Linked DNA regions of Caenorhabditis elegans. The protein of the gene in region 3 interacts with the protein of the main gene of each other region in a pairwise test. Each region holds a gene or a part of one and is shown on either strand. Other genes may lie near its edges.

The links.
Region 1: the proteins of uso-1 (region 3) and vab-3 interact in a two-hybrid assay, tested with the Caenorhabditis elegans proteins (2 studies listed by BioGRID).
Region 2: the proteins of uso-1 (region 3) and famh-161 interact in a two-hybrid assay, tested with the Caenorhabditis elegans proteins (2 studies listed by BioGRID).
Region 4: the proteins of uso-1 (region 3) and nhl-1 interact in a two-hybrid assay, tested with the Caenorhabditis elegans proteins (2 studies listed by BioGRID).

The regions. Positions count from the first base shown.
Region 1 is NC_003284.9:10,498,123-10,502,916, forward strand, and holds the start of vab-3 (Paired box protein 6 homolog), read left to right. Parts: upstream 1-1,767; 5' UTR 1,768-1,983; intron 1,984-2,115; exon of another isoform or gene 2,116-2,171; intron 2,172-2,965; exon of another isoform or gene 2,966-3,072; intron 3,073-4,007; exon of another isoform or gene 4,008-4,113; intron 4,114-4,448; exon of another isoform or gene 4,449-4,589; intron 4,590-4,794.
Region 2 is NC_003283.11:20,529,168-20,535,746, forward strand, and holds famh-161 (Protein fam-161), read right to left. Parts: upstream 5,006-6,579; 5' UTR 4,875-5,005; intron 4,387-4,874; 5' UTR 4,321-4,386; coding exon 4,246-4,320; intron 4,202-4,245; coding exon 3,168-4,201; intron 3,091-3,167; coding exon 2,825-3,090; intron 2,618-2,824; coding exon 2,478-2,617; intron 2,334-2,477; coding exon 2,211-2,333; intron 1,952-2,210; coding exon 1,593-1,951; intron 1,353-1,592; coding exon 1,293-1,352; intron 1,244-1,292; coding exon 856-1,243; 3' UTR 529-855; downstream 1-528. Other genes in the region: Y38H6C.15 (uncharacterized protein), read right to left, coding at 5,634-5,759, 6,391-6,579.
Region 3 is NC_003282.8:13,451,792-13,456,737, forward strand, and holds the start of uso-1 (Uso1_p115_head domain-containing protein), read right to left. Parts: upstream 3,008-4,946; coding exon 2,906-3,007; intron 1,991-2,905; coding exon 1,895-1,990; intron 1,709-1,894; coding exon 1,553-1,708; intron 1,490-1,552; coding exon 1,245-1,489; intron 1-1,244. Other genes in the region: Y38H8A.7 (uncharacterized protein), read left to right, coding at 3,715-3,804, 3,852-3,935, 4,005-4,098, 4,143-4,242, 4,293-4,344.
Region 4 is NC_003281.10:9,147,866-9,155,883, forward strand, and holds the start of nhl-1 (RING finger protein nhl-1), read right to left. Parts: upstream 6,038-8,018; 5' UTR 5,940-6,037; coding exon 5,898-5,939; intron 5,465-5,897; coding exon 5,355-5,464; intron 3,801-5,354; coding exon 3,659-3,800; intron 3,614-3,658; coding exon 3,270-3,613; intron 3,224-3,269; coding exon 3,064-3,223; intron 2,986-3,063; coding exon 2,902-2,985; intron 2,851-2,901; coding exon 2,726-2,850; intron 2,673-2,725; coding exon 2,538-2,672; intron 1,907-2,537; coding exon 577-1,906; intron 286-576; coding exon 160-285; intron 114-159; coding exon 1-113. Other genes in the region: Protein irld-34, read left to right, coding at 7,251-7,311, 7,703-7,806, 7,853-7,994.

The DNA.
Region 1 (4,794 bases), on a different chromosome or scaffold from region 3:
GAATATTTATTACAGAGTTTTAATAAATCAAATTGTCTATTGTATGTAGTTTTTTTTTTGGTTTTACATTTACTGATTATTAGATTAAAATTAAATAATTCAATTTTGAAAATTCAGAAAAATAGTTTTGACATCCTCTACTACCTTTTTTTCTCATTTTATCTTTAAAAAATTAATTCAGGGCGATCATTCCCGCCAAATACGGACATGAATCCCATTTGGTTACCAAAAAAGTGCGGCGGCTGTCGTTGAAAATAAAAAAATCCAAAAAGTGGGAAAACGACATCTTCTGTTCACTCATGCGTACAGAATCTCCAAAAACATTTCGCCGTATTCATTTTTGGCGTGATGTACCACATATGACTTGGTCCAGATAAAGGTACTGGTGTAAATTTGTCTGTTGTGTAATCGGCATTTGACGCTAGCTTCTTGCCCAAGTTTGGCAAAAAATTTCAACTTGAATCACAACACGATAAGCTTGGTTTGGACTGTGTTTAAGTTTACGCCAAGTTTGATCCAAATAACAGTTTTTAAATAATATTTTTTTTAATTTTTGGGAAAAACGCAGGTAACGCCAAATGCCAAGTATAATTATTTTTAGACAACCGTCTAAAATTTGGAAAATATATTTTTAATACAAAAAATCTTACTCCGAGATTGATAAATGTGGAAATTTTGTAAACTACGATAAAAAATGCAAATTATTCTTAGTGTGTCAATAAAATTTTTCTATTTACTTTTCACAGTCCCAGTACTTGTTTCCTGCCAGATTTTCTCAAATAGGACTGACACCTGAAGCGGAATAATTTGCTATTTGACTTCCGAGCCCTCGAATTCTGGCGGGCGGTCCAACAAGAAGAACCCTCAATATTCCGTTAGTTATTTGTCGTCTCTGAAGACTTTATTGTCGGATGCAGCGATACCGTAGTCCGAAGAAAAGAATAGAAGAAACTGACAATGAATGGAGAAGTGGAGTAAAGCCAGCTACAAGCAGGGCAGAAAATATAAATGAATAAGTAAAGAAATCAGTTACAGAAAAGTGACATTAAATTTTTTCCACGTATCAAATTATGAAAATTATTCATAGCGAGGTTTTTTAAATGTTTAATTTGCAGTTACACTGCTTGAATCCGAATATCGATGCGGTTGCATTAATATTTATGTATAAGGAATCATCAAAAATAAAAGCAGTAGCTGATTAAAACTTATTTTTAAATCAGATATGTGGTGCATCTCCTTTTCAGAAACCAAGTAGTTTTGTTCGATCTGTTAAATTCTGTTAATCACAATGGTTCAGAATGTCTGTAAACATGCTTAGAAAACTAATGAGGTCGGTGGAGCAGAAAGTCTGTGAAAACTTCTAATTGGAATCAGGTGCTGGCAGTGAAATCACAAAATATCTTGGTCTGTACACCGGGCAAGAGCATGCCTACACCCCGCGAGTTTGGCATGGCTAATCCCTTGTTTGACAGATGTTCAGGGGGAAGGAGCTACCACTGAATAGTTTCCACGTGAGTAGAAATTGATTCATGTTCATAACATTGATGGCAATGTATTCGAGAAACAATGCCCATCTGCCACAAGTTGCAAAAGGTAGATTGTGAATAAAGCTGCGCATAATCCATAGAGAATATGAATGAAAACTCCGCCCATTTCAAAGAAGACGATTGGCCCGAGAATAGAAGCAAAAAGTCAGCGGTGTCCTAGGTGAGACAACGGAGAAAACGTGTCCGGGCGCGGCTCTTTTCAATTGTGGACCGAGAGGGAGAGACGTCGACGTCTTCTTTTTATGTCACACTATATCGTTGAAATAGTTTCGCGCTTTTTTGTTCTGTCCCCCGAAAGTTTGTTGGACAGTTAGATACTGAGGATCTCTTATTCTAACACTTCCAATATCTACACTTACACTAAATTTTACGCTACACAACACCAAAATCCGCGAGTATTCAAATAGTGACGGTCGAGTTGACAAAAGTGAACGTGGTGAGTTAAACTCTTGTTGGGTAATGAGTTAGCAGAAAATCAATAAGATGGCGAGCACTTTCAGATGGGCGTGCTAATGAGGTGGGCATGGGCTAGAAGTAAGAACTACCCTTCTTCGTCGGCATATATTTTCTCATTTCAGTCTGTTGCCTTTCTGCTGATTATCATTAGACTTTCTTGTTGAGTAGATAAATTTTGATGCCTCATTGACAATCATAAATAATAGAGAAACAATCGATATTGTCATAATGATAACAAACTAAGTAGGAATAATGTAGAACTGGTTATATTTTGAATAATTTCAAAACTCTTTGGTCTTTAGGCTAAATATAGAAACCGAGTCCTTCTCGAAACATTGATGTCGTGGGCTGCTATCATGTGTCTCCTATGACTTCAAACTTTTCTGAAATTACGTTACCTAATTTTTTTGAGCTTTCATGTTGTATCACAAAAATTTTTCATTCTGCTATAATTTTTCACAGATAATTGTTTGGTTCTAAATTCTGGGCAAAGTTTCAGAATATATTTTGAACTTTAGAACTGAATTCTTGAGCATTTCTGATTTAAAAAATCTTTTTGAACTTTTGCTACAACTTCTTTTCTCTACCATAAAATGTTTTCAATCTTGTTCGATGCTTCTACAAAAACTCCAACATCAGGAGCCATGCTTTCTCCTCCCACTTATGTTATTCATTGTGTATGTACATCCGCATGTGTCCATCATTGACTCCAAATTCCATTAGCCATCTACCGTATCTGGATTTCCGGTGTGTGACGCCGACTCCATGGCCAACACAGAATCATCGTAATTCTCCCCGCAATCTACATATCGCTACTCCAATTTTCGAATTTTGCCCCGTGTTGCAATTCCAATGCATTCAATCAAATTTAAAAGTTTTGATGATTTGTCTACTCATTTTTCCCACCCGTTCCGTTTTCTCCATGTTCAACATTTTTGTCGCCACCACCATCACTGAGAGGGGTTTTTGTAATTGGCTTGAATTGACACCCATTAACCGGCACACCCGCTGTTTGGAAGATGTCATAACGAAAACGTCGTTTGATGGAGGTCTTTGTCCGCGCCTTGTTTCCCTGTCCCTATAGTTGAAGGTGTTCGCCATCAGGCACCACTACTTTTTTGGCGCCCCTCTCTTTTTCTCTCTCGTCAGTGTCAAACGAGTAGTTGAAAATTGTGCTATTCCAAATTACATGGAGCCCCACTCCTCTGACCCGAAAGCCTTTCCATCAAATTTCGTTTTAGTAGATCTTTTTAACTTGTCATTATGCTCCTTTGGATAAACGATTTGGCTCACAGGCAAAGCATTTTCAACTGTGGGGACATTCCGGAAACACTTAGCCAATTGATAATGACAGTCCATCGATGAGTTATAAGATATGTTATCAGATGTACAAATCTGACACCCATACAACAGTCCTCACCTCGCTCTCGTCGTCATTCAGTTGCCAAAATCGTCATGCCTACTTCCAATTATGCAACTTTATCTTACGGGAAAATCTAATAACTTTTGCATTTCAGCTATGGCACACATGTTCAAGACATATTTTTAAAAAGTGAAAAGGTTGTCGGGAATATATAAAGATAAGGTATTGAAACTTTGGAAGCCCACGTTGAGACACTGTAAATAAACATTCACATTCACAATTTTTATCGTAGTCACTAATGTCTTGTTCCTTTAAAAAACATTTTCAATTTGCGGATTACAGAGGAACTAACTTCAAAAATTAAAAAAAAATCATTGAAAACGTTTTCTAGAATTACTTTTATTGAGTTAGAAAAGTAGAATCATGCGCAAAGTTTTTAAATTGATGTGCAAGAAAAAATTATCTTTAAGCCTAAAAAGCAAAATCCAATTTACGACACTTCCAAACGACAGTAAAAATTTTAAAAATTCAAAACTTCTCTTTTTATTTTTATCCGCAATCTTTGAATCACCAAGACCACTATTATGAGCAACTTCAAACAAAAAAGTTTATGAGTTCAGATGTAGTTCGAGATACTGAGTCATGAGCCTTCTCCTTTTCGTTCTCAAGATTTTGATCTCCTCAAACCGAGCTGGGTCCATTTCTACAGCATTGTTCTATTCTTTTGTCAAATTGGCTTTTTTAACCCTTTCTTACCTGCCGAGGCCTTCTTTGTTACCTTCCGATCACCACATCTCGACGGTCCTCCCCTCTTTATCTTACTTGCTGCTAATTACGTGTTCTCGTCAGTCGGCTCCAGGCCCGGATTAACTTTGACTACAAAACATATGTCGTTTGTGTTGTCTCGCTGCTGCATCAATTCTGGGTCAATAATTTGTGATTAGCTACCACCTCCGGTCTAATTAAGGGCTCCACAGGTTGAGGCAGCTCACCTTCTGTTGTTCTTGTTTGGTAATACCAAAGCATCTATGTAGTTAGACTTTTGTAAAAGATTATGAATCAGTGAATCAGTACTTGCAGACAACTGAAAAAGAGTACATGCTTACTTTGACGTTAATGGAACTTCTAGAAGTATCAGATAATGTATTAGAAAATAGGTACCTGATTATCATATGGGCCAGTGACTCGGAGACGAGTGATAAAGTATCACATGTAACTGAGCATGTAGTACATGTACCCTAGAAATCCCACCTTCCATCTCACCTTTTTCGGGTCTTACTTCTGTTATTCTTTTTTAGTTTCCATAATTCACTCAAAACCGCTCATTACCATTACCACATTACTACTTCTCCGCTATATGCATTTGATATTAGACACCAACTATTGTGACCGGTGTCTTCAGTCTTTTCCCGCAATGGAGTAGGTGAC
Region 2 (6,579 bases), on a different chromosome or scaffold from region 3:
GAAATGGACATCGATGGAATTATGCAGCTATATGATGTGCAGCCGCAATTCAGGAAGTTCCAGCATGTTCCCGACTGGGAATACGACATTTCGTTAGTGAATCTTTTTGGCTTTAAAATAAAATCATTGATATCAAATTTTCAGTGAGTTCCCAGACAAGGAATTACAAATGTTCGACACTGACATTCCGGAAAAAGTGTTCATCTGCGAACTTTTGCCAACCTACATTGCCGGCGTGATTTGCCAGAGGGATCAACTTATTTTCCAGTCATGATTTTTCCAATTAATTTTTGTCAATCTTTCATTTAAAACGTTTAAAAATAAGAATTTAATATTAATTTCATATATATAATTTGATACATAGTTTCTTTATAGTTTCCACTTCACATAATGTTTGAATCAAATTAATCGTAACTTCTATAAAAGTTTAATATCATTAATTCTTCGAGATCTGGCGTGAAATTCAACATTTTTTAAAATTATGAATTAAAAAATTGTAAACAATTTTGGTGGACTTCAAAAATGAACTTTAATTTTATGGAGAATTTATTAAAAAATAAAACTGAATAAAAATCACCAATTTGTTCATAAATCGCAAAGAAATCACATCTTAAAATTACTCAAGAAAAACTGAAACTCCAGCATTTTACAATAAATCATTTTATATTAAAAAACAAATTTCGAAAATTTTACCCAAGAAATTAAAAAAAAGCACCTAATTTGAGTTAAGAACCAAAAAAGGAGCGGTCAAACGGAAAAAAAGTCTTACAAAATTTCGATTTTTTGGAAAATGCTGAAACTCTTTGAAATAAAAACTGCTAAAAGCCTAGTCAATTGAAAGAAAATAACAAGCATTTAAGCTTCCGAGGAAGATGAAGTGGATCGTGAGCTTGAAGATTTTGAAGACGTTGATTTTGAACTTTTTGGCTTTGAGCTTCTTGATGACCTGGATTCATTCTCGGATTCAGAACCACTTCCAGACTCAGATGGCGTGGAACTTCCAGACTTTTCAGACTTGTCTTCCGACTCAAAACTCTCTTCATAACCCTTGTCAACCACAAAAGTTCCACTTCCACTAACTTCTGAGCTTCTTCTCCCGATTGATTGCTGCTTTTCCTGGCTTTGGACCCTTTCTATACCTCGCCCCTTGGCGCTTTTCATGCGTTCCTCAAATTTTCGTTTTAGACGGTGCTCCTGCGCCAGGGCCGTCTGTTTTTCCATGATTAGCGGGCCGTTGAGCACTCTGAAATTTTTGGAAGGTTTTCAAAACTTCCGAAAATTATCAAACTAACCTCTGCTTCATCTCGGCCAGCTGCCTCATGTATTCTTGAGTTGTTTCCTGCTGTTGTTGCCTGAAAATCAGGAAACTGTTTTAACATTAAAAAAAAAGAACATGAGAAAAAGAGACGCAGACAGGCAGAGCGACACGCTGTCTGTGTCTCTCTCTTTTTTTTTTGAAATTCAAACCATTTTGAGGGAGTGACCGGTTATGCGTCTGCCCGTTTTCTGGAAAAATGTTTTTTTTGCTGAATTTGACAAACCTCAACGATTTTCAAATTTTGATAATATTTTTTAAAAATAACAAGTCTTACAGTTTCTGCTTTGTCCTCATCGCAATATCCTCCTCAGTTTTGCTCCGTGCTCCCAAAAACGAGGAAATCCTCTGCTTATTATCTTCAGCCCAGAAATTCCCGTTTTTTCCCGATTTTTCAGACTTTTTCAGCTCAATTTTTGCTCGGTTGAGCTCCTCGCGAAGTTGTGTTGCGTGAGTGCTGGGCACTCGATTTTTCGAGGTTTTCGGCAAGTTTTCAGTCGATTTTTTGAATGGTTTTGGAGCCTGTTCTTGACAATTTCCGTGTCTCGAAGTTGCTGATTTACTTCTGGATGCGAATTTGAAAGGTATCGGCACAGTGGAGGGTTTTGAATTTGTGTTACGAAAGTTATCGGTGATCTGGAAAAAAAATTATATAATCACCTATTTGTCTTCAAGGCGGCCTACGCCTACTCTGAGCCCCAATACGTGCCTACCAGGCAATATCGTGCCACGTAGAAAATTAGCATGCATCCATAGAATTTGCAAAATACATAGTTTTTATGCTCCAAAAAAAACGAAATAACAAAAAAGAACTACTTATTTGGGTTTTCTGAAACTTTACCAAAATTTAAAATTTCACTCAACTTTTTTTTAAATAACTAATTTTTAGACTCACTTTTGCATGGATTTTCTCAAAATCCGGTGGCGAAGTCCGCCGGTGTAGTGAGACGGCGGAGGCGTCCATAGTGCACCGCCCGTGACGTAGGTGATGGGTTAGGTTTGACTGGGCTCGGTGGCTCTGGAATGTTGAATATTCTGACAACGAATTTGTAGATGAATATAGATGAAACAAAACTAAATTTCTAAACCAAAACATTAAATTTTTTTAATTTTTGTTTCTAAATAAAATTATTAATTGTTCAAAATTTCTAATTTTGTTTACCTTAATTCCCTTTGGAGTAGTAGCTTCTTGAATAAGAATAGTCGCTCTCATAGTTGCACTGCGGCTTCTGGCATTTGGTTTCACTGGAATTGGTGAGATATATGTTGATGGAGGTACGTACCCGAGAGGTTTTATTGAAGCTGTAAAAAAATTTGGAATGGTATTTTTTTTTGAATTTGAATTCAACATTTAATTTGCGGTAGGCAATAATCAATTTCATAATGTTCCTTTAAAATTTAAATAGCTGACTATGAGAAAAGCTAGTAATTTTTCCGGTTTATTCCAACAAAAAAAACAGTTTTCCTAAAACTTTGCAAGAAATCCTAGTTTCAATGTAAAAACCATACCCAAATTTCCTTCACTCTTCGATCGGACCATTTCATTCTGAACTTCAAACTTCCTCCGAGCCTTCGCCGCCACCTTTTTCCTCATGGCTTCTACGTATTTTTGCTCCGTCGCAAATGTATTTGTAGGCTGATATGTTGATTTGGGGACAGGTTTTGCCCGAAATTTTGTGTTTTCCAATGCTTTCTTGGCGTCCTCCTCAAGTTTTTGCTTTTCCGTAATTAGGCCGCTCATGAACTTTTTTGCGTAAGTATTTCCAGTGGATTTTCTGAAAAAAAATTATAGTTTAGGTTACATCCAGAAGTCCGCAACTAAGTTGAAATACTTCCCTTGTAAGCTACTTACCTCAAGCTCAACTGAAACGGCTTCGGTACGGTAACCTGTGGTGTATACTTTGATAGCTGATGCATAGACTTGGATCGATTCTTAGAAAGCTTTAAGTCGCCCGCTACAACTTCATCCCGAATTGTTGGAACTTCCCGTGTCGTTGACATTCCGTCCTCTAAAAAACTCTCCTCAACAACGTGTGATGACGTGGCAAATTGTGGATTTTCTGACTTAGAAGATGCCACGTGTTTCGTATTACTAGAAGATAACAGTAACCCTGATGGCATGGCGACGGAAGTGGCGATGTGTGGTGCGGAGCTGAGGTGCCGGGTCGATGCGTTTGCCAAAATTTGCCGGACTGTTGCTGACGTGGCATTTCTTGTCGAATGATGACGTGACGCGCTGGATGTTCGATGACGTGGATTTTGGAGAGTTGATGATGTAGCACTCGGAACCTGTTGACGTGAATTTTGGTGGGTTCTAGAGCTTTGATGACGTGGAATTTGATGGGATGGCGTAGCATGAACCTGCTGACGAGGATTTTGGCCAGATAAAGCCGCTACACTTTGGACTGATGACGTAACAGAGACCTGTGATGGTGCTGTAGATTCGATATTGTGGTGCCGAGAGCTTTGATGACGTGGATTCTGATGGGATGATGTAGCATGAACCTGATGACGTGGATCCTCATAAAGTGCCTCGTGGCTTTGATTGTGAGCCAACGTGGCATACTCAGTTTGACTCCAAGACTGCTCCCTCGGAGGCTCCGGTGCGGCCCGAACAGGGACTCTCACTTCTGAAGATCTCGGTTTCAGATCTAGATGACGTGGCATTTGATAGTCAGAAGGAGAAGCTTCATCTTGAAAATGACAACTCGAAGATTTTGTCACCTTATAGCTCGACCTATGCTGTGTAATTTCTGATGACGTCATCATAGTTGGCAACGGTGGGGCGCCGAGCTTCTTGGCAAGGAAGTTGGTGGTCTCCTCGTGTTTTTGACGCAAAATTGAGAGACGCTTGATGAACTCCTCATCGTTGAGTAATGATGGGTCCTGGAACGAATTTTTTGAGGTACTGTAAGAGAAGCTGAACTTACATTTTGAAGAGCGTCTAGCAAGTCCGCTGTGGCTTGTAGATTCCTCAGCACTGGTGGATCTTTCGGTGGAGCCATTTTGTGGAATATTAGGAAGGAAATGCTAGGAAATATACGAAAGTTGTGGATTTTCCATGGGGAAATCTGGAACCATTTTTTTAATGAGTTTGTTTTATTTCAAATTGTGGTAGTTTCAACAAAGATTCAAAATTTGGTGAAATTTGTTCTACGTTGTTTTTTTTTATTTTTCAATAATTTCCTCTGGTGAAAAACCTAAGCCTAATCCTAATTGTAAGCCTATAATACTAATAAATTTTGGCGCAAAAGTCAAATAATTTCCAAAAAATGTATGAAGGAAATTAAAATGGAAAATTTTAAATTTTTTTGAAAAAATTTGCATTTTAACAACTTTTAACGTCACTACGGAACACAAATTTGCTGAAATTTTTCCAAAGAGAAATTTGAATTCAAATTTTTCAATACAAAACATATATCTTGAAGATAAATTTTTAATTTTTGACAAAAAAGATTTTGCAGGAAATTTACATGCGTATTTTTAAAATAAATACGTTTGAAAACAAAAATTGTTTGAAACCAGCAACAAAAAAAAACATACAAATTCAAAAACTTACAGGAAATATACGACTACTACTACTGCCGTCAAAAACTTCTAGAGCATGTCTTCAGAAATATTATTTTCCGAAATAAATGTGTTCTCAAAATTGAGTAGAACACAAAAAGCGGGAGAGAGAGAGCAATCCGAGAAAAAGAGTTTGACAGGAGTGAGGCCCAGGTTGTTATGGAAACGTACGGCAGGTGGTAGTAGTTGTTGGTGAAGATGGGTGGCTCGGAGGGAGAGATTACGAAATAAAAGGGTAGGGTGTGGTGCATAATTAACGCGAGACAGCTTGAGATGGAATTCAGGAAATCGTTAATCTCATCTTCTACCTCCCCTTTTATTAGTACTACTAGTGGGAACTTTGTAGGTATCCAGACCTATGTAGGTCGACAACAGGGGCGAGCGGCAATTTTTTCGTCGACAAATTCGGCAAATCGGCAAATTGCCGGTTTGCCGATTTGCCGGAAATGTTCAATTTTGGCAATTAGCCGGTTTGTTTAATTGCCGAAAATTTTCAATTCCGGCAATTTTCCGGTTTGCCGATTTTTCGGTTTGCCAATGAAACTGGAATTTACAAAAAAAAGTGCAAAACAACAATTTTCCGAAAATTTTCGGCAATTGCCGTTATTCCAGCAAATTCCGGCAATTTCGAGATTTGCCAATTTGCCGGAAAATAGAAAAAAGTTGAAAACCAATAAAATGTCGAGGAGAACATTTTTCGTCAAAGAAATTTTATTTTTAATATCAAAAATCATTTATTCCACATACTAGTCTACTTCTTTTTATCAGTCTTATCCTTCTTGAAAGTCTTTTTCTCCGTCTTCTTATCGCCATCCTCTTCAAGTGTGGGGTACTCGTCCGTTTCAGGTGTGACAATAGGATCTGTGACAACCGCGTTCTGAAAATTCAACGCTAAGTTATGAAGGTTTAAGATGTTTAATTTGACCGGAAAACTATGCTCAGGCAAGCCCTCATTTACTAGTGTTTTCATTTACTTGAACGCTGGTTGATTGCCATCTAGCAGGTGAGCCTGTGGAGATACGCAGACCGCGGTATTGTCTCCCTGATTTTTTTAGGAGTCGGCGTCGCTTTGTGGACATCTCTCTTTTGTCCAATTTGTTTTGTGCAAGCCAGATAACAGATAACATCTCCTTACTAACAGAGAAATGGATGTAAGTAACATTAACGATGTACCAAGTATGCTGATATATCAGCATAGTTGGTATGTTTACAATTTTACCATCCAACCTTTATGACGTTTTGTGGCGAAAACATTAGTAAATGAGCGTCAAAGGGATTGAGCCATTGTTAGGGATTTCAAGTAAATGAGCACGCTAGTAAATGAAACGAGTCGTTTGGTGTGTACTCAATGTAGTGAGAAAAGATTGTTATTTGAAAAAAAGCGGTAGCCACATTCCCAGTTCCGCGCCGCACTATACATACGGATACATGCGGCATGAGTGAGTCCGGCGCCGGCGTCGTTGCGGCGACCTCATATAAGCCCAATTTTCCAAAAATTCTCAGCTTACCTTGTCGCCCTCGCGAAGCTTCGATTGAACTGGAACAGTCTTCTCCTTCGCTTTTTCCTTTTCCTTCGGCTTCTCCTCTTCGGTCAATTTTTCCGGTTTTTCAGGCTTATCCTCACTCGATACTGTCGTCTTTTTCTTGGTTTTGTCCGATTTTTTCGAAAGCTTTTCCGCTGACTTTTTGGACTCTGG
Region 3 (4,946 bases):
AAAATACAGATTTTTGAAATAATTTATAGAAGGATTCGGGGGGTTTTTGCTCGTAAAGACTCAAAAATGAGCTCAAATGGACGAATTTCGTAATAGAACTGCTCAAGAAATTTTCAAAATTTTGTATTTTTTATGCCGGTTCAAAATTTCGAAATATTATATAATTACACTGATTTTAGCTAAATGCTCGAACTTCGGCCATTTTTCCGTGTTCCAGCTGTCCGAAATTGACTTTTTTGGAATTGTCATCCTTTTTTTGCATATTTTGGTAGTTTATATCATTTAATTTCGTTTATTAAAGTACATTTAAAGCCTATAAGTAGCCAAAAATCATAAAAAACGGTTACCTATCGTCTTTAAATGTACTTTAACAAACGAAATAATATGAGATAAAGTACCAAAATATTCAATAAAGGACGAGAATTCCAAAAAAGTCAACTTCGAACCGCTGCGACACGGAGAAAAGGCCAAAATTCGAGATTTTAGCTAAAATCAGTGTATTTTTTCGAAATTTTGAACCGCCATAAAAAGTTTTTCAAACATTTTCGAGCAGTTTCAATACGAAGTTCGATTATTTGAGCCCATTTTTGGGGGTATACGTTCAAAATCGTCCGAAATCTTCCTTAAAGGAGGATTCGGGGGAATTTTTGCTCGTAAAAATTAAAAATGCGCCAAAATACACTAATTTTGAAGATATAATTCTCAAAATTTCTGAAAAACGGGCTAATTTCAGTTAAAATCTCCAATTTTATCAATTTTTCCGCGTTAGGACTGCTGCAATGCAGTTTTTATCGAATTTTCATATTTTATTTGATCTCACGTTATTTCGTTATTAAAAGCAAACACCAAAGATAATAAAAAATCGGATACCAAACCAAAAAAAAAATGCAATAAAGACTGTATTTATACTGTTGTAACGCAAAAAAAGGAGCAAAATTGGGGATTTTGCCTAACATCAGGTGTTTTTAATTTCGAAGATTGTCTCGCAACAGCCGGAAATCGATTTAATTCAATTATAATCATATTTTGCCGTTTTTTGAGGAATTTTCAGTCGATAGGCCCCTTATTCAGTGCCTTTGGCCTGAAAATGTATCTCAATCGGAGAAAATACGGATAAATTAAAAAGAAAATTAATTTGCGGTTGTTGTGACACCGATAAGTTGACGAAATTGGAGATTTTAGCTGAAATTAGTGAATTTTTTAAAGCATCTTGATTTTTTTCTCGTTAATTTCGGAATAAAAACCTTCGAACTCCAATATCGAATTGTTCAACGGCGCATAAAACTGAAGAAATGAAGCCTTTTCGTTTAATCATCACTTCGGCTAATCGTTCTCCTAATTCATCGGATTCTGAAGAATCGTCGTCTGTTGACAAAACGATTGCCATCGTGTCGAGCACAATTGTCATGGCTTCGGTGTTCATGCGATCTGTTTCAAGCACGTCAATGAATGCATTCATTCCCATTGTTCCGACGGCTAATCGATATTTCTGAAATTACACGTTTAATTTTAATTGTTTAATTTTAATAGTTCAAATGATTTTTTCTCTCACCTTTGCGACACCTTTCAGCCCTCTCAACGCATCTCGACGGTCTTCTGGTGCCGTACAAGTTTCTGCTCGTTCCACAAGTGTTTCTACATATTCAGCTCCATTATCCTCGTCTTCATCTTGCTGTCCGCCGCCAAAAAAGTTCCGAAACAGCGACATCTGCAAAGCTACACGTGGCAGTGAGCGGAAAATGGGATTGTCGTGTTGTTGAGCGAATATAAATGATAATTAAATGCATTTTTTAATTTAATTTATTTATTTCTAAATATTTTTCTTTATTTTCTGAATTTTAACATAAAATAAATGAAAAAAAACGGGAAAAAAAGAAGAGAAAAGTGGAAAAACCTGTCGTGGAATTGGAGGATGCGTTCTCAATGGAGCGCGCTTGCTGACTCTTTTCGGACTTCGTTTTTTCGCTTGCAGACGTTGACGGAAATTGCTCTGAAAAAAAGATCTGCTCAAAAAGTGAATAAAACAAATATTTCAATTGTTTTAATAACAAAATTTGCATATTCAACTGAATAATAATTATACTGAATTCAAGAATTTCAAAAAAATTGGAGAAAGTTTGGGAAACAGATGGAAATTTTCAATAAAATCGTCGAGAAAACATTTTCTGTCAAAATCCGGATTAAATCCAGAAAGAAGAGTACCAGCTGCCCACGAAAATTTCGGGTTTTCCCCCAAAAGAACAGTCTTGAGTCCTGACACGATCGAAACTTTTCAGCTAAATACCGTACACGTGGCTCAAGCCAGTGGTCACGGTGTTTTATTTTATACTCATACCCAACATTTTGCGATTTTTGCGCCAAAAATACGGTTCCTGGTCTCGACACGACTTTTTTTTTGTTATATTCAAACCAGGGCGCGCCTTTAAAGAGTACTGTAATTTCGAACTTTCGTTGTTGCAGGGTTTTCATCGTTTTTTCATAGTTCTTCGTTAAAAAAGGCTGTTTTTATTTTGTAAAAAACTGAAGTAAAACAATTAAAACACATAAATTTTAAGAAAAACAATGAAAAGTCGAATAAAATGCCGCAGCGACAAAAGTTTAGAATTACAGTACTCTTTAAAGGAGAGCACCCGTTTCCATGCAACGAAAAATTGTCGTTTTGAGACCAAGAACTACCGTATTTTTCGCGCAAAACACATAAAAATTGCAAAATTTCCCGTCTGGCTAATATCTTTAATAAATATAAAGCATAGATTTTTTATAAATTGACAGGCTATTTTCAAATATTAAATTAAAAAAAAACAAAAATCAGCGCTAATATGCTCAATTCAAAATTTTTTAAATTGAAAAACATTGGTTAAAAGTAGAAATAACAATAAATCAATATATTTTGCAACAACTTTACCTGAGGCAAATTGAAAAACGCATTGGAAATTGTCGTGTCACTGGAAAACGATCTAACTGAAAGAGTTGATCCGGTAATTGAAGACGTTGAATAAGCGAACATTTCGATTGAATAAAACTATCGGCTCAGAGAGTGTTAGAGTGCGTAAAAGTGTAATGTAGGAAGAGGGCACATTGAGTGAGTTGATCGGGAGAGAAAAGTGAAGAGAAAACGGATAGAATAACAGAATACTGTTACTTCAAAATGTTTTGATTACGGGTAATGTATACATTTCGATATATATTAGCTTTCAGGCAAATCAACAAATTACTGGAATTGAAATTTCTGGCAAACTTTATTTTATTTTATTTCAATGTGTTTCAATGTTCAAAAAAAGAAAAATTTCCGAATATACTTCAAATATAATTCAAATAAATGCCCAAGTTAGAGTACTCAGATAAATCGAACCACGCAGGCACCGCTCCAAACCACGCAGGTGACTGCCCACCACGCAGTCAACGCGTCAAGACCACGCAGGCAACCAAAAGCACGCAGGTGACGCCTAGGAACCACGCAGGCGACTTGACGGTGGGCAGCTATTGGCAGTGGCTGCAAAACCACGCAGGTGACGCCTACATACCATGCAGGCAGCCAACGTTCAGCCACGCGCGGGATTCCTAGGCCAATGGCTGCGTACTCCTCTTGGACAACTTTTTCTTCTATTTTTTTTTCCTAATTTAATGGAATTTTCCGTTTTTTTTCTTGCAAAAAGCACTTTTATATTAATTTTCAATTTCTTCATGAAACTCAATAATTGTTTTCAGGTAAATATGTCAACCCCGGCCCGAAAAACCCCAAAAGGAGGCCGAAAGCGGCGTGGCAATGGACTGGAGGCGCCGCATTCGATTGGTCGCTTCAACGTAAGATAAACTTTATTTTTAAAAAATATATAGCAACAAAATTTCAGAAAAAACCTTCGGAATCGTTCGTTCGAACTATGGACTGGGATTTCAAAGAGCTTAGGAAAATCGCGGAAAATTCCAAGTCAAAGGTGAACAGAAGTTTGGCAGCTGCACAAATTCTCCAAATCCAGATGTAGTTAAAATAGTTCACTTTTCAGACAATTCCTCCAGAGCTCCTCCACACCTTCAGTGTCCACCCAAATTCGGTGAATCATCAGATTCTTCAAGGAAGACTTCTCAATTGTCCTATCAGTAAGCTATTCTTGTCCAATTTTTTTTTAAACAAAAATTTTCAGGCGTTCTTCACAATATTCTACATGTTGTAGCCGGATTCGAAGGACAGTTCCCGAGTGCGGATTTTGGCGATGTTTTCTCCCGACAGGTGGATCAAAAATGGTAAACACCCTTCTATCAATTTGTATTTCCAAAAATCAATAATATTGCAGCTTGAACGCACGGAAAAAGATGAGCCAGGAAAAGGACACACCATCACACTGATCACTGGGACGAAAACAACTGCCTAATGGACTTAATTTTGTTTCCCACCTTTTTTTGTTGTTATTTTTGAGATTTTCGTACTTTGCGTTTTAGATGGTTAAACGGTAGGAAGGGGAAGGAGCGGGCTGCGAACTGCCATTGCTGCAAGACCACGCAGGTGTCGCCTCCAAACCACGCAGGCAACGCGTTGAAACCACGCAGGGACTGGCATTCTTGAGCGTGGTTTGTACGCGTTGCCTGCGTGGTTTGGAGCGGTGCCTGCGTGGTTCGGTTTATCTGAGTAGTAAATTTTAAGGTCTTTCAGCATATACCAATAATATTCCAGTAGGTACAAGAAGCTTCACGTAGTTACAGAAATAGTACATTTTCAGCCCTACCTTTTAGTGCGTATTTTATTATTTAATGAAAACTACCATTTATAGGCAAAAATAGATGAATTTTCCAAACTTTGAAAATTCATAAATCTTTTGAAAGTAACTTTTTTTGAAATGTCTTTCAGAAACTTTGTAGTAAATTTTAAGCTCTTTCAGCATATACCAATAATATTCCAGTAGGTACAAGAAGCTTCACGTAGTTACAGAAATGTTTTATTTAATTATTTA
Region 4 (8,018 bases), on a different chromosome or scaffold from region 3:
CGTGGGAATTTGAATTGTCCACCATGAAAACCTTCCTCGCCGAATGAAAACAAATGAACACCGTGGGGATCGAATACGCTGATTCGATGATTCGAAGAATCTGATACATACACCTGAAACGATTCAGAATGATTCATGAATCTATCTGGAATCACTCACGTGATGAGTAACTCTGCTAACTGCTATGAACAATGGACTGTTTAGTTGACCAGGTAGATGTCCGAAAGATCCGAATTTTGCAATGAATTGACCATTTTTGTCGAAGACTTGGACGCGGTGATTATCCTATAATTTAAGCTTCACTTGTATTTTAGCATGTGGGGCAATGTTTTTTAAAATTTAATCTAGATCTGCAAAGCGGACCACAATAATGTCCGGCGTCCGAATTTCCAAAAAAAAAAAAATTAAAAAATGATACTCAAAATACCGGACGTCCGGTTTGCCTGCAATATATGAATCTACAAAAACAAAGTTCTTCTCTTGATGATAATTAATAAACAAAGTTAATTTTTATCAAAATGTATACAATTATGAACTTTCGCATTACTGAGAAACGTCTCATGATAGTTGACCTACCTTATCAGCCACATAGATACTTCCCAAATCATCGACAGCAACTCCCCATGGATTATTGAACTTAGCATTTCCCTGTCCATGTCCACCGAATGAGAACAAATGATCTCCTTCCAATCCAAAAACGGAAATTCGATGATTGTACCTGTCGGATACAATAACTCGGAGCTTTGAGCTTGCTAGCCCGGCAGCTGAATCAAGTTGTCCGGCACCGGCACCGTAGCCTCCGAACTGACGAACAAATTTTCCATCTTTATCGAAAACACAGACACGATGATTAGACGAATCACAAGTTGCGACAAGACCTCCGGACAATGCACAAATTCCACGTGGCCAGTTTAACTCGCCATCCTTCGCACCTTTTCGTCCGAATACTGCACGTGGTCTACCACGAGCCCTCCATTCACCAGCTTCACGAGAAGCGCTGCGGCCACGCTGTCGCAAAACGGCAAGCTTCTCTTTCTCTTCGTCGGTTGTCGTAGAAGAGTCTAAACGAGATTGACGTTCGGCGAGAAGCTGCTGCACTCGAGCACTTGTGAACTGTGCCTGTATGTCGGGATTTGTGCGCGAGCGTTGGAAGCGTTGCCTCCGACGCTGTAACCACGCTGGCACGACGATGTCACTTTCGTCTTCCTCACCTGTGAAATGTGTGACTGGAATCGCGACTTGTTCAGATGTCCCATTGGTGATCGGAGCGGATGCCGGAAGTTGATGTTGAGGTGGCGGAACATTTATGATCGTACCAGTTCCTGGGATCATACTCATCAGTCCATCATCACGGTTTACAGATGCCGCGCGACAAACTATTCGTATTCTACCGCGGTTGGTGGATACGGGAAAATCCTCTCCCTCTGATTCTTCACTTGAAACTGCTCTTGATGCAGCTCTAGATGCATCTTGACGTTGTTGATGAGCTCTACGGATGGTTTCCACTTTCTCATTCAAAGAATCATCGTTACTGGACTGTTGACGTGGCAGAGGTGGCTTTCGGATCGGAAGTTGTGGAAGTGGAGCAGGTGATGCATCTTCAGTCCTCTCAACCCGTTCAACAGATTGTGGTGGAAGAGGAGGTTTACTAGCTGGAGATACAGTTCTTGGTGTTTCAGTATTCGGAACAATCAGACTTGTTGGCCGTGACTTGGTTGGTTCAACTGATCGGGTGACACGATCAGCAGCCCACGGCGATGTTCGTGATGAAGAGTCCGCAGTGACTGATGTAGTAAGAAGAGAAGGAGCAGCAGATGAATTACGGAGACGATTCCAAGCTTCGTCTTCCAGCTGCTGACGACGACGGTAACGAATCGAGGACTCATCAGGCTCAGGATTTCGATGACTGAAATTAAAAGAGGATAGTTTAGAGAGGGAAACTGTATGGAGAAGTAATTGTGAGATTATACATTTAATAAATTATCCAAGCTAAATTGAACTATAACTTCAATAGATTTATGTCAAAATGCCGGTGCCAAATTTAATATTCATAAAGGGCGATCAATATGTGTTTGGCCAAAAAATAACCAAAATTGGATAGTAATAAACCAACATAAAAACGCGGAAACGCTTTTACTTTTTTGTCTAGCCGTTTTTCTTCAAAAATTCGAATAAAATTTTGAAAATAATTAACTTTTAAATAGTTTTTTAAATTGTCCGTTGCCCCTTTCTTAAATATTATTATTTTTATTGGCATGGCAAATTTAGCATCTTGACACAATTCTGGCGACCTCTAAGATATTTTAATGAATAAAACATAAATTGTACTATATTTGAGTGTAAATTGCAACAATAAGCCGTTACATAGAAAACTGAAAACATGAAGTCGAGAGCCAGAGACCGGACGTAGATTCATTTTGACACCTTAACAATGTTGATTTTCTATAATTAGTGTTCTACACTATACAACTAAACTACTTGACTAAAAATCACACGTTTGTTAATAAAAAACCAAAACCAATTCCCATGGAACATACCTGTGCCTTGAAGATGTCCTATCAGCTTCTCGATCTCTCATACTTGCTCTTTCGTCAGATTTAACCCGATAACTGTCACTTTCCAATGGTAAACGGAATGGTCTTGGAAGGTATGATTGTTCAAGAGGGAGGTATCTACAAAGTATTGACTAAAGATTTTCGTTTTTTTTGAAGTTTTTGAAATATACCTTCCCGAAAATTGAGGAACTAGAACACAAAGTTCACCAGAAGTAGTGATCGCTGCTGGAAGCTTAGCAGCATCATCTCCAGCTGAGAATCGGAGTTTTCGATTAAAAAGTTCGTCGGCGTCGGGCTAAAGCATTAATACAATAAGAAATGTTCAACAATTAAATTAAAAAGTTACCTGAAAGTTCCTAAGATATTCAAGCCCTTCCGTAAACGTGTTTTTCATTCGAACAAGTTCAGAATCTTCAATTGAACATTCTCCCTGAAAATTTTAAGATTTTTTTGTTATGATATCTTTTTGAAATTCTCGATAGCTTCAAAATATTCAATGAAATCCCACCTTGATTGCAGCATCCAGTCTAGAAACTGCTTCACTCATATTAGAACTTTCAATTTCCAGAACATCACGAAGATTGCTCATATTACGAGTCTCAGTAGCTTGAAATGTATCAACTTCCATGAGAAAGTTGTCTTCCTTCTTTTTCAGATCTCTCTGGTATCTGAATTTAATTTTTTTTTCGGGTTTTTATATCTTTTCAGACAAACCTGTGGAAATATTCTTTAATTTCTGCTTTTGTTGTCTCACAGTTCATTGTCATCATATCAACTCCTTTTGATAAATTATCCGATGCTTCCGTAATTCGATTGGCAAGCCGTTTAACCTGATTCAAAAGTCGCGACATGTCTCTTTTAAGCATATCCATATGAGTCTGTCGACATTCTTTACATGCTTTTCTATCACAATGTGCACATGGTTCACAGTCTGCTTTCTCATCACAAATCTTGCACCGTTCCAAATTGTACCTGTGAATGTACTCTTCAATTTCTGCAGCCGATTCTGGTGTGGCCTGCAGATGAATCTCGAGAAACCCGGTTAATGTGTAGTTTGGCTGAAAATGAAATATTTTGCTTCAAAGTGATACTTATTTTCACACCTGAAACGCCTTTACTCCGTCATATGGAATATTGTGTTCTGCTCGACATTCTGGACATTTCAAATTGCGATGTAACGTGTCTGCACAACTTTCCAAGCATGGATAGCAAAATGTGTGTTGACAAGGTAGAAGCTTGGGTTGTCTGAAAATAGTTTAAATCTATAACTTGATATTTAAAAGTTTAGCCATTCTGTTCAGCATTTATCTCTATAAAAATCAAAGCTCAAAGTATTACATTTCAACTACCAAGTTCTTCAGATGTCCAATGTCAATATCTCACGATTTCACAACTTTAAAAAATCATAAAAAGTCTCGTTTCTCTTTCTAAATATCTTTCAAAGAGATCACGTCCAGCAGGCTTCTTCGTTTCCTCATCGGTGTAATACACACACTTTGCAGCCCCATAGCCAATGGCAAAATAGTTGAGAACTGGCGGAGAATCCGATTGAAAAGTCTTCTCTTGGCTCCCTTCTCGATTGTAAAAAAGAGAAAAGAGAAAGTAGAGGAAAAGCCGTTCGACATGGAGATAGATACAACGGTGAAGCTGTTTCGAAATACTCTAACAATGAGTTGAGAACAACTGTGTGATTGATTTTGAAGTGTTTCATTGTTAAAAAGTGGATTGCCACCAGTTGAAATATTGTCATATGATTTCTAAGATTTCGAAAAAAATTCCAATCATCTATTGAATTGAAAAAAAAAATATTTGAAACGTTTCTTTTATCGCAGGAGGTATTTTTGTGAATTTTCAATGAGCACCGGGTTATAGCCCAAAAGCTAGAGCTTTTAATCTAAAAAATTGGCAAACTTATGATTAGGAAACTTCAATAAAAACGTTGAGTTTTGAAGATAATCGCCATTGAGAAAAAATGTTTAAAAACACTCCTAGTGGGCTAAAATACTACGCCAACTCTTCTTACTCGTCTTTCTCAAAAACAAAAAGATTTATAAAAAGTTAGCAAGATAAAACTTGAGAAATTAAACTTGAGAAGACAGAACAAGAAATGGCGAGTTGAAAAATATCATAGTATTACACCTTCTAAGCTTGAAAAACTTTACCCCTACGTTCACTAAATACAATGTTTGTCATGATTGTCTGAGGTCTCGTGCAAAGTTATTCAAATTTTTTACTTTTTTTTATTTTATTTTTGAGACTATAAGTGTATTATTCAAATATTTTACAAGAAAAGGTTCTCGTTTTTAAAATGGATGTTTACATTTGTTCATCTATAACAGATCAATGAAACATCTCTTTTTTTTAATGTTCCACTTTTTACTCTGACGTAGGTTAGTCTATATTTATTGACACAAACGTTGTTGATTTAACCCAAAAATGATCCTCATTTTTAAAAGATCCCTGCAGGATCTTAGATTGTTGATTTCTCCATAACGTTCTCCTAGCTAATCATCATAACAGTCTGTCTGATTTTATTATTGTTTTGATGCACAGTGCGTAAACAACCGGATGTTTATTATGCATCCCCTAAGTCTATCTCGTTTTTTCAAAAAAATTCCCCTCAGCCAAGCGGTACTTAGCCTAGGTCATATGATAACAGTGGTCAGTCAGAAGTCACACGGCCTATGTCTATCCTTGAACTACACACTAATAGTTTGTTTTGGTTGTCCGTGGTGCTTCTTCTTTCAATTTCGTCTGCTCACTTTCAAAACGAACAGCTGATTGAGATCACAGACTTACTTGTAGCGATCGAGACAAATCGGACACGTCAGCAACTGCTCGATCTTTTCGAGAGGATTCACAAAATCAGCTGGTCGACTCGATGGTGGACGTGACATCAGCTCGCGCATCTGAAAGAATCTATGGGTCATGTGGGTTAGAGATGATTGCACTAATCAACTAATCAATGTTGTACAGGGACTTAACTTTTTCTCAAAATCAGTGGAATAACTTTTCATTTAAAAAATAAAAACGTTACTTTAAAGTTGCAATGTCTATTTGAAATAAAGAAAATTTGTACAGCACCTATAGGGAGCTTAAACGAAATATAAAAATTTTGAAAATTGACAAAAATTTTAAATTTAAGTTTTAAAACTCAAAGGACCGTTATAGGGTTACCAATATTTTTAAGATAAAAAATTTCAATGAATGTCTCTAATAATTATTTTTTGTAGATGTTTAAAGTATATTTCATTTCCAGTTGTCCACAAAATTAATTTTTAAATGTTTGGAAAACGACGAATTTAAGATTTTCTTTAAAAAAATAAATTTTTTAGAACAAACCTTTTCGCGAGCTTCTGCTTCATTTTGTGGAGAACTGCTCATAAGGATTGAATTTTAGAAATATTGGAATTTCGAATTAAAAAAAAACAGGATAGAACGAGAAGACGAATCGAATATAATAATAAAGTGGGGTGTACTTGGAGAGTTGGGGATGAGTGTGCCGAGTGCTCCCGGGAGCCAAAAAAGATTTGAGACGCAGAGAAGTTGGAGAAAGATCTGGGGAGCAACAGACGAAAGACGCCCCCAGCCATCTCCTGCAAACACAGCGGCGGCCGATATCAATCGGTGTGCGTGGGGTGCGCGGATCGGATTTTGAAAAGTTCTTGGTTGAGTCTTTTACTGGTTTTTAGGCTTTGTTTGACTATTTACTCATAAGTTTTGAAACCGATGGGAATTTGAAAAAAAGATCAATAAGATATGAGGATATGAACGGCGGGAAGATGCAGCTGGTTTGTTGGTTCTCGAAGATTATGATAACTGTCCTGAACGTTGAAATATTTGAGAAGAAATTGACAAATTGAACTTCAGTATTTATTTTCAGAAGCTTGAAAGTGTAGATTAAAATTAGGATGTTTCTTTAAAACATAAAAATAGTCCGAAATTCAAAAAACCACAAAATAAAATCGAAAAATAAACCGCAGAAAAATGGAAATTCGAACTATTAAAACCGCGATTTTGAATTCCCTCCGAAATAAAAACTTTGACCAATCAGTGATTTGCTCCGCCCACTTTTCAACCAATCAGGACGATTGTGTAGAGTTTGAAGACGTTGAGTGGTTAGAAAATGGGCGTGGCTTATACTTTTGGAAGAAGTTTAAAAATGGAGAACAGTCACAATTGAAACTTGCCTTTTTGGTTTGTTCATTCTTTTTTATTTTTGTGGTATTTTCATAACACTTTGAGTATTTTTCTTTAAAGCACATTTTTTTAAACTTTTCAGGTAATTTGACGATTTGACAATTTCCCGAAATTCCTTTTTTTGTATTTAAAATCATGATTATTTGATTTTTCAAGCGTATGTATGTACTTATTTTGTCTTTTTTGTTGGTAAACTTTTGAAACTAATGATCATATAATTTGAATAAAATCTGAAAGTTCAGCATCCTGCTCTCTATAATTACGTAATCTTCAAAACTCCCACTAACCACCTTTCGACTATTTTTCATTAAAAAAAAACCAGCGAGTGCAGTAGCTAGAAGGCGTGCGAAATTCGCTGGTTACTATGACAATCGCTTTCCGGAGGGTGGGCGGAAATAATAAAAAATAAAGCAGTTTTTGAGTTGGTTAATCTAATCACAAGTTTTGTTTGTCTATCGTCTGGTTGCAACGAAAAAGAGTAACGCGCTGGAATTTATGCAATGGCCACTTATTGCCGCTCTTTTTACTCAGTTATATCACTTTGTAATTGGAGATGGTAAGTGAAAATGAAATAGTAAACATATTACTATTTTAGTTAGTTTTGGTTTAGAGACGAAATTTCGCAAAATGTTGGATAACAATTAAATTTATAAGAAATTACTACTCTCTTCTAACTGTCCAGCTTATCTCGGTTTTTTTTGGTTTTATCAAAAATTTGTTAATTGACAAAATACGCGCTAAATATTGATCTATATTCTGAAACAGTTTTTGAAACAGTTCACTTAAGAAATCCGAAATATGAGCCGTCAAAATAGAGAAATGATGGTGCAAGTCTAATAGGGAAAAAACTGCGTTTTAAATTTTATTTTCCAATTGCCAAATGCAAAAATCTTAAATATCATTCTAATCGGTAATACTTTTGATAACTTTGAATATATCATTTACAGATTGTTATTGCCCATTATGTGAGTTGGACAAATTACCCGACAACTGCACAACAATTCATGGACATATTCAAATGGGTCTCGAGTCAACAATGCCACCGTTTGAGGTTTTATTTATTCAAAACACTATAGGATTCCAATAATTTGTTTAAGATCGTTGAATACAAGCTGGAAAATGTCACAAAAATAGTTGGATGCATAACGATAGCCAACTCTGGTTTCACAAGTCTGTCACTTTTATCAAATTTGGAAATAGTTCAGTACTCACAAACTGGAAATTCTTCTACATGTTCCTGTATGTTCTTTTTGGAAATTTTGA